Linked DNA regions of Neurospora crassa OR74A. Each later gene encodes a partner of the first gene's protein in a complex. Links are inferred from orthologs where the notes say so. Each region holds a gene or a part of one and is shown on either strand. Other genes may lie near its edges. The genes, in order: NCU03834 and hat-4.

Region 1 (4,523 bases):
TGGGCAACAACCTCGCGGACGCACCCGGTCTATAAGGCTTCGTTCGCCCTCCAGGCTTTCCAGAAGCGAAGATGCCTTGACAGACATCGAGACCAGCCTCCACGCTTGATGGCCATAGCCACTTTCGTGGTTCAGTCACACTGCACAATACAACACCGCGTGAAGCAACTGATGGGAGCCAGAAGTGGTATTTTACTGCTTTGGTATCTCATTACTGTTGTCGCTGCACAGCTTCTCGCGTGTCTCAGCTATCCGCCGCCATCTACACGATATCGGTACGACTACTTGTTTACATATATACATGAGCCGTTCCCCACTTCGCCAAACCTACGCAAAAGCCGCAACCCAAACGCCTCGCCCCGGCCAGATCCTTCTCTTTAGCCCTGGCCCCATATCGCTAAATGCATCAATCGAGAGTTGAGGGGTATACACAGCAGCGGTCTTCCGAAGTTTATTCGGCTGCTCGACCACCAGCCCGCGAAAAAAGCCAAACGATATCTAAAAAAGATGACAACACAACACTCCTACAAACGCCAATTTTATGACACCGGTTGAGCCTGGGGCTGCGGTTGCGGCTGTGGCTGTGCTACTGGTTGTTGTGGTTGAGGTAGAGGGAGAGATTGTGATTGATTTGGTTGAGGTTGTGATTGCGGTTGTGGTTGTCCCGGAGCAAAAGAAGATTGGGCAAGTTGTTGTGGGACGGCGCCCGGAGGGATGAACTGCCGGTTGATAACCGGTGGGGGAGGTCTTGTGACCGTCTGGAGTGGTATTGAAGCACGGTACCTCAATGCCTTTGTATCAAAGGGGTCCAGCATATACACCGGCGCGTCGTCCTCGTCATCAGAGGACTGATCATACTTCCAGCGATCGGACTGTTCTTCACTGAGGTCTCGGGCTGGACTAGGTAAACCACGACGGTCGATCCACAACCTGTTCAACCGGCCGATACGACGACGATATGAGGGTGGATGCGCCAATGATTGTTCGTCCTGGGCAACGCCCCTGAATTTTACTGGTGGTGGTGGGTTGGGTTTGGGCTTATCAAGATCCATCGGGGTGGGCTCATCCATGGATCCTGAGGATGCAGACGCTGGTGGCGTCATGAGATACTGCGTCTTGGCAGGTCTGAAGCCCAAATCTTGTCTTGGGCCCTGAACGGGAGACAGCGGCTTGCCAGTGAGGTCGACATAGTTCTTGTTCCAGTCGATGTGGTTCTGAATCTTCTTCTCGATCTCGATGATGAGCTCCGCATTCTTCTCGGCAAGGCGATCTGAGAGTTGGACAAGATCTGACTCTGCGGGACGGCCATCGGGGCGCACAGGCATACGGATCTGGGGGGGTGGAGGGGGTCTTTGAGCTGAGGGTGCCTCCGGAGCCTTCCTCTTTTGCGGCTGTTGTGAAGCGTTAGCGTTGGCTGATGTAAGTCTTGCACGTCTTGCCGTTTGACTAACCTTTTGGTTTACTAGATCCTCGTCGCCCGTCCTGATGCCGAGTCGGAGTTTTTGCTCCTTGATGATGGCTCGTTGATCGAAGATGGCTCGCTCTACCTTGAGCATATCTGCCTTGAGCAATTCCCGGTTGTGGGCTGCCAGGATGAGTTGACGACCTTCCTCCAGCTCCTTCCGCAGCCGCTTGAGTTTGTCCGCACTCTGGACATCTCTTGCCCTCGTTTTGCGAGTTTGACGAATCTCTCTTCGGCGAAAGCAGACGTAGGGATCAAGCTCGTCGCTTTCCGCATGTGTCTCGAATTTCAGTGTAGGGTTGAGCGGTCGGTTTTTGCTGATTTCGCGGCGCGACTTCCAGTACTCATATATCTGCTTGGCATGAACCATGACTTTTGTGCTGTCTAATGGCTCCAGTCCTCGCAACATCTCCTGATACGACGGCACTGTCTGGTCTATGGCCGAGAACGGCGTTATGTTCGCCGCCATGTCCTCATACACGTCCATGATCCTCTCGAAATCATCTTCGGAGAGACGAGCAGACGGGGTCAGTTTCATGTTGTAGGACTTGAGGAACGTCTCATCGTCCTCGGTCATGTCATACAAGCAACTGATGCATTCTTCTACCGTTTGGGAAAAACGGATATACGTGGATGTCTTGGCCACCTTTTGAGGGTAGAACTGGTCGTAATCCAGTTCACTCTGCTGTGGAGGGGGGACAGGAATCTCCTGGTCGGCGGCGACTCCTGCCCCCTTGAGCACAGCTTGAAGATGGTATTCCTAGTTACAGAAGGGGTAAGGTCAGCACCGGTGACATGCATGGCTGTGTGCATGGAAGGTAGGTAAGGTGAGTTGGTGATGGAGGCGTGATGGAGGCGCGGCAGACGGGTGGCACGTGCACGTGCACGTGACCCCGGTCGCGATCAATCGGACATAGGTGTTGAACTCACATTTTCCTCGGCCTGTTCGACACCGGTGGCTATTTGGTTTTCGGAAGTGAGTGATTCATACTCAGAGGCTTCAATTTGATCCTCCCTGAGCACCGCAAGTTGTGTTTTGACACTCAGTTTCTTGTACCGAACCTTGCGGGTCGCCATGGTGAAGGTGTGGGCAATTGCGGCAGAAAGGCCTGGGGAAACCCCGACGAAATTTTTTTTTATCTCATGCGGGATTGCATGCGAAATCGAACCGTCGAGTTTTTTGATGGAAAACTCGCGTCGTGGGTGATATTTTGATGGGCAAAATCTGGTCCCTTGATGGAGTGTCGTTGAGGTTTCGGCGCAGATTTTGCTGTTTTGGCGGCGGATTCGACGGCCAATGCACGGTCTTGGCGATTGGCTGGGCTTCTGCTCTTGCGAAGCCTGAATGGCGGGGGGAGGGGTTGAATGGGGTGGTTTTGGGCGAAGTTTTGCTGGTCGCGCTGGCTTTGCTGGCTTTTCAGGGAGGGAACGTAAGCGTGGTGCCCACTGCCCGGGCCGTCCATGGTCTGCGCGTCCACTCGCAACGAACCAGTCAACCACCACTGCCAGTGGCCACTGCACTGTTTGAAAGTTGGAAGCGCGGGCGCGCCTCCAAGGAACCCGATCCGACGACTCCAACCTCGACTGCCCGCCTGAGAAGCCAAGCTGCCAACTGGAGCCCAAGGCAGTGCCAGCCCGCTCCGATAAGAGCAATATCGTCATGTAAGGTAAGGATTGGCGTGCAATCTTACAGAGATACACCGCGGCCTCATTGATTCTACTCTTTTGTTACCTGTTTTTGCTTGTTTTCAATCTTACTATCAGAACCCTTTGGCTCTTGGTGGAATGACGATGCAAGCAAGCATTTGCTGGTCGTCATAGACTCCTTGAACTGAGGGCATTCGGTGCGCAACCTGACAACACCCAAGTTGGATCCAAATAAAAGACTGATATCCTGCACCACTTCCTCTCCATGTCGTTGATATCGCATTCAATATTCAACGACAACTTGTGACTGTCTGGAGATTTGGGCATTTGACTGTTACCAGTGCACCGCAGCCAAATAAAGATGGAGTCCGAGGTGCAAATCATATGCGCAGCAGCACACATGCGATGCATTCCTTTAAGAATTCCTAAAACGGTCAATGGTTGGTTTGGTTTCAACGAGGAGGCACGCGAACAGTTCCAACAGACATCAACCCTGACCGTCGAAAGGGGCAGCGTGTTGAAATGAATCAATCAATGGGCTGATACGAGATGAGGAGGAGAAGTGGCCCGTGCATCCCACTTCTTACCCCACCATCCACGGCATAGATCCTCGTGCCTGCCCCCGCTGTCCGCCTGCCCAGCCGAGCCAAAGGCCGCGGCCCGCCTCTCCCTCTTTTGCCTCCGTTCCAGTCTGTGACCGCCAAACCGAAGAGGGGACCTGCCGACTGCGGGACGACAGTAGCCGCGGCGGGCTGCTGCTCTGCTGGTGTCAGCCCAGGAGTGCTCGTGAATGGGAGGCCCCCGCTGTTCGGTGAGGCAATCGAGCGCCGCACTGCAGCTATGGACTAGTAGTGACAGCCCGAGCTACCTGGACCTTGACCACTTGTCAACCACCACTGGTGGCATCCCATCTCAGCCTTATTCCTGCCTTGTCCAGACCCTTATCGACCCGGAGTCGACCCCTAATTCCTCCAACCTGTGAATACCTCCTGCCTCGCACTTTTTTCTTTGCTGCTCAAGTGTTAACCCACCACCCAGCGCCCGAACTTCTTGCCAAAGTGACGACGACTACCGACACGACCCATTCGTATCCGATCGCTTCAGCGTCGCATCACGTCGCATCTTTCGGCACAGGCACATTGCTATCATCACGAGCACGACAACCAGCGGTGGAAAGGAAACAGAACAAACCGAGAACTTGTCGACGATTCAGCACGGCGATTTGTACACCACCGTGCACTTTGATACCCAGTAATACAGATATCCATCGGTCGAAAGAGTCCAGCAATACACAACACGAGCAGCAACCATGGGCAACACCACCAGCTCCGTCCTGGACAACATTGTCCAGGGATCCAACTGTACGTTTCGCTCGGCGACATGTTGAAGCCTACAACCCTCTACACTCTTCGTT
Region 2 (4,520 bases), on another chromosome or scaffold:
CATCCTCCACACTACTATGCTGTCCCTGATGAATCTCGATGCCCAAAACCTCCTTGGCCAACACCCTTAAACTCGGCTTCGGCCCATGTCCATACTTTCGAAACCCACTGTACTTGGCCGTATCCCTAATATCCCGATGCGGATGCTCAAACCCCAACACCTCCAAATCATGCTTGACATCATGACCCACCAATATCCGACCTTTCAAAAGGGCAGCCACAGTTGCTTGTACGGACTCGAACGATCGTGCGGACGCCATGTGGCGCTTGGAAATGCCTGATACATGCGTGCGCCAGTCGGTCACGAAAGCAGTGGGGCGAACGTACGAGTCGTAAATTTGGTGTCCGTGGAAGTCGACGATGGAGCATCGAGCGAGGACACTGGTGGCGCCCGAGGGACCGGTGCCGACCATTTCGCAGTCGATGGAGAGGTATTTGCCGAGCGTGTTGGACTTGGTTGCTTGCAGGATTAGTGCGAGGTCGGTGGTGGTGGAAGTGTCGAGTGTGAGACCGTTGGAGAGGGTGAGGGATGAGGGAAGGTCGGTTGGTAAGGGGAGGCCATTTTTGTTGCTTTTAGGGGAAGAAGAAGAATGGCCGGGGAGGGTGAGGCCTGCGTTGGGGATGGCGGGGGGGAGGGTGGAGAGGAGAGGGATGTGTGAAGAAGAAGAGGAAGAAGAGGTGCCGCGGAGGCCAAGGTTGTACGCTTCGGCGAGGGATTCAGAGGAGATGCCTTGTTCGTCGGCCCAGAGGTGGAGGGAGGGGAGGGTGCTGTTTGGGGAGGAGGAGGTGGTGGGCTTGGATTGGACGTTGCCGCCCATTTTTTCTTCTGTTGGTTTTTGGCTGCTGGGTTGAGACTGGGTTTGGGACTTTTGTCTTTTTGGCTTCTTGGAAGGGTTGGAGGCTTGTTGCTGTTGTTGACTCTCCTCGGCCTTGCGCTTGAGGGTTTCGGAGGAAATGGACTTTTTGGAAATGGCTTGCTTGAAAGCGGCTTCTTGGCTGATGGGAGCTGATTTGGTTGGTTGAGGGGCCTTGAGCTTTTCTTGCAACTTCTTCCAGTTGGAGGAGAGTTCCGGGGCCATGGTTGGTGACAGGAGGGTCTCCTGCCTTGGTGATTTTGATGGTGGTGGTGGTGATGGAGTGTTGAGTCAAGACAGACAAGTGAGGGTGTCACTGCCGATGAGGGATCACTTGTGGTATGTCCAATCACAAATTGGCGGCCGAGGTTATGTGGAGTCCAATTGGTGCTGAATTCTTATTTGGAATGAGAGAAAGTAAACAAAAGGTTGAGACAAACGGAAGATTTCCAGAAGGTGATAACTTTTTTGTATGAACGTGAAAGTGGATGTTGAATATGGGCCCCACTTTGGTGTTCACTTAAAAATTCAACTGGGGAAATCGGTTCCTGGACGATTGACAGGGTAGGCAAGCCATGCAGGGATCTGCCGCTGTGTCCCATTGCATCCCCGCTGAAATGACGGCCCAAACACGTGGGCTCGCCACTGAAGGACCCCTCCAAAACGTTCGGGAAGCGTCCACTGAAAGAGTCGCTGAACACTACAAAACACTTCAAGACTGACGTCGCGCGTCGCCCGTCAGATTGATCGCATTCAATCGCCCATCGTCCACAACCATCAAATCTTGTCGCAAACCATCGCAAGTTATCGACCGAATCATATACAGTTGGATCACACATAGCCGCCATCATGAGTCCCCCAGGTGGCGATGCCACTGTCGGCTCCGACGAGAAGCGACAGAAGGGCAAGGCGACGCCCGACACCATCAAGTATGTTTCCGTCCCATCATTGTCCACGGCACCCCCCATCGTCGTTGAAAAACCAGATACTAACACCACCAAACAGAATGGGATGTATTGCCATGGTGATGAAAGAAGGCCAATTACGACGAGCAGAGATCCTCAGTATCAAAGACACCAAGTCCGGCCGGCAATTCTACTGCAACTTTGACAACTTCAACAAGCGTCTCGACGAATGGGTGCCGGCCGCCAGAATCGATTTCGAGCAGGACGTCGAGTGGCCCAACCCGGACAAGGACAAGCAGAAGGACGCCAAGACCAAGAAAAACAACTCGACGGTATCCAAGAAGCAACCGTCCAAGAAGAACAACCAGAAAAAGGCCAGCAAGAGGGAGCAGTCAGTCGCATCGGACGGGCAGACACCACACCCATGGACCGAGTTTGTCGAAAGCCAGCCAGGGAAGAATAACAGGCAACGGGGGAAGACGGAAGATGGAACCGACGTCAACGCCAGTTTGGAGGTTGGTGGGGACAAGGGAGTCAAGAGGAAAGCCGACGAGATCGATATGGATGAGGACGAAATACCAGCCGCTAAGAAACAACGCCAGCCGTCTTTTTCCAGGGAACAAGAGATTGAAAAGTTGCGAACATCCGGCTCCATGACACAGAACCCTACCGAGATCTCGCGCATTCGGAATATCTCCAAGGTGGAATTCGGCCGCTACGTCCTCTTCCCGTGGTATTTCTCGCCCTACCCGCAGATCTTTGACCAAGAAGACTGCATCTACATCTGCGAGTTCTGTCTCTCGTACTACGGCGAGTTGAAATCCTTTGTGCGTCACCGACAAAAGTGCACTCTACACCACCCGCCCGGAAACGAAATCTACCGGGACGACTACGTCTCCTTTTTCGAAATCGACGGGCGACGTCAGCGCACCTGGTGTCGCAACCTCTGCTTGCTGTCCAAGATGTTTCTCGACCACAAAACCCTTTACTACGATGTCGACCCGTTTTTGTTCTACGTCATGACCACCCGCGACGACCGGGGGTGCCACATCATCGGGTACTTCTCCAAAGAAAAAGAGTCTACGGACGGCTACAACGTCGCCTGTATCTTGACCCTTCCGCAGTACCAACGCAAGGGATACGGTCGCCTGCTCATCCAATTCTCGTACGAACTGTCCAAAATCGAAGGCAAGCTCGGCTCGCCCGAGAAGCCCCTGTCCGATCTGGGTCTGCTGTCATATAGACAGTATTGGTCCGAGAACATCATCGATATCTTGCTCGGGTACAACGAGCGAAAGGAAGCTTGCACGATTGAGAACATTGCTGTTGCCCTGGCCATGACGACACAGGATGTGGAACATACGTTGCAGGCGCTCAAGATGCAGGTGTACCACAAGGGCGAGCACAAGATTGTGGTACCGGAGAAGCTGATCAAGCAGAGGGAGAAGAGCAAAGCGAAGCAAAAGAGGCTGATTGATCCCGAGAGGATCCAGTGGAAGCCACCGGTGTTCACGGCGCTTAATCGGACATGGGGGTGGTAGTTGCTCTCGCTCAGCAAATATTGAATGATACACCAAGACGACACACTCGTGACACCACCACACGGATTCATGACCCAATTAAAAGAAAACGAAACCATCAGCATTACGCCAACAAAAGAAGATCAATTCCTGAATCGATCAGATACTGGAAACCTTGCAGTAGTGTATGCAAACAGAATGGTCATTAACATGGCCGCAAAGTGCACTTGACCTTTGTTGGATTTTTACAATGGTTTCGTTGATTTATTGGGTCATGGATACAATAGGTGGTATGTCGTCTTGGTGGATCATTCAATATTTGGGGAGCGAGCGCTCTTACTGCTGGGATGTCTGTGTTATTCTCGTTGTAATAGTCATGAGAACAAGATTGCATGGGTAGCAAGCGGGTTGGTTAGTATGATATGGCGTTGGTTTTTGTTTTGGACGGGCACTTGGGGAAATGGCTTACAGGAGGGGGGGAAAAAGGAACACCATATGTATCACTATTACGGCCAAAAGCACCAGAATGGTTTGTCATTTCTTTACGAGTGATTAGGAATATAATTACCAGGATAGAGAAGCAGAGCCTAGTCATAATCTCTACTCATGATCAGCGAAAAAGCCTGTTTGCTACAGCACAAAATCTTGACGAAAGTTTAGCTCAAGATTCCCGACTTTACTATTGAGAGCATGGCTGCTTTGGACGTCATCAAACGTGGGTGTATTCCCCGATCTTACAGACCGCTTTCGCAGATTTGAAGCTTGTGACTGGTTATACCGGCTAGTCGTCGGAGATCTCCCGGGCCGCATTCGGTAGTGAGACCTCCAGACGTCACCTCATCCATTGCTTGTGTTCCGTCAGCCCCGTCCAGCCCCACACCTCCGGCCGGCCGGCCCCGCAACCTAGATTCCCCGCAATACGACATCATTCACGACGGCGATCACGACGGACAAATGGGTTAGGCTGAGATAAACTGAATGGTTTCACCACGGCATTTGAGATTCACTCGCTGCCAGGTTAATAACAAAGCTATGGTCCCAAAACCACCACCAACCTTATCTAGGTTCCACTCATCTCACCAACAACTCAACATTCCAACGTCTTCATCACTCCAAGTTAACATCAACACATCAACAACATTAACAACAACCACCGCCAACATGTCCCCCTCAACACCCCCCGCCCTCTCCGACCCCGACGTCCCAACCCCTCTCTCCCAACCCGGCGAAAAGAAACAAATC

Evidence for each region.
Region 2: NCU03834 (region 1) and hat-4 share a complex: the UniProt entries of both Schizosaccharomyces pombe proteins name them as parts of the nuA4 histone acetyltransferase complex. The link is inferred for Neurospora crassa OR74A from reciprocal best matches to the Schizosaccharomyces pombe genes epl1 and mst1.

The regions. Positions count from the first base shown.
Region 1 is NC_026505.1:2,562,727-2,567,249, reverse strand, and holds the start of NCU03834 (histone acetyltransferase complex component Epl1), read right to left. Parts: upstream 2,842-4,523; 5' UTR 2,540-2,841; coding exon 2,393-2,539; intron 2,223-2,392; coding exon 1,452-2,222; intron 1,392-1,451; coding exon 540-1,391; 3' UTR 1-539. Other genes in the region: cnb-1 (calcineurin subunit B, variant), read left to right, coding at 4,419-4,470. UniProt on the Schizosaccharomyces pombe protein: Component of the NuA4 histone acetyltransferase complex which is involved in transcriptional activation of selected genes principally by acetylation of nucleosomal histone H4 and H2A. The NuA4 complex is also involved in DNA repair.
Region 2 is NC_026504.1:5,717,038-5,721,557, reverse strand, and holds hat-4 (histone acetyltransferase esa-1), read left to right. Parts: upstream 1-1,559; 5' UTR 1,560-1,702; coding exon 1,703-1,782; intron 1,783-1,858; coding exon 1,859-3,299; 3' UTR 3,300-3,912; downstream 3,913-4,520. Other genes in the region: NCU05217 (RNA exonuclease 4), read right to left, coding at 1-1,078; NCU11146 (aminotransferase), read left to right, coding at 4,257-4,520. UniProt on the Schizosaccharomyces pombe protein: Catalytic component of the NuA4 histone acetyltransferase (HAT) complex which is involved in epigenetic transcriptional activation of selected genes principally by acetylation of nucleosomal histones H4, H3, H2B, H2A and H2A variant H2A.Z.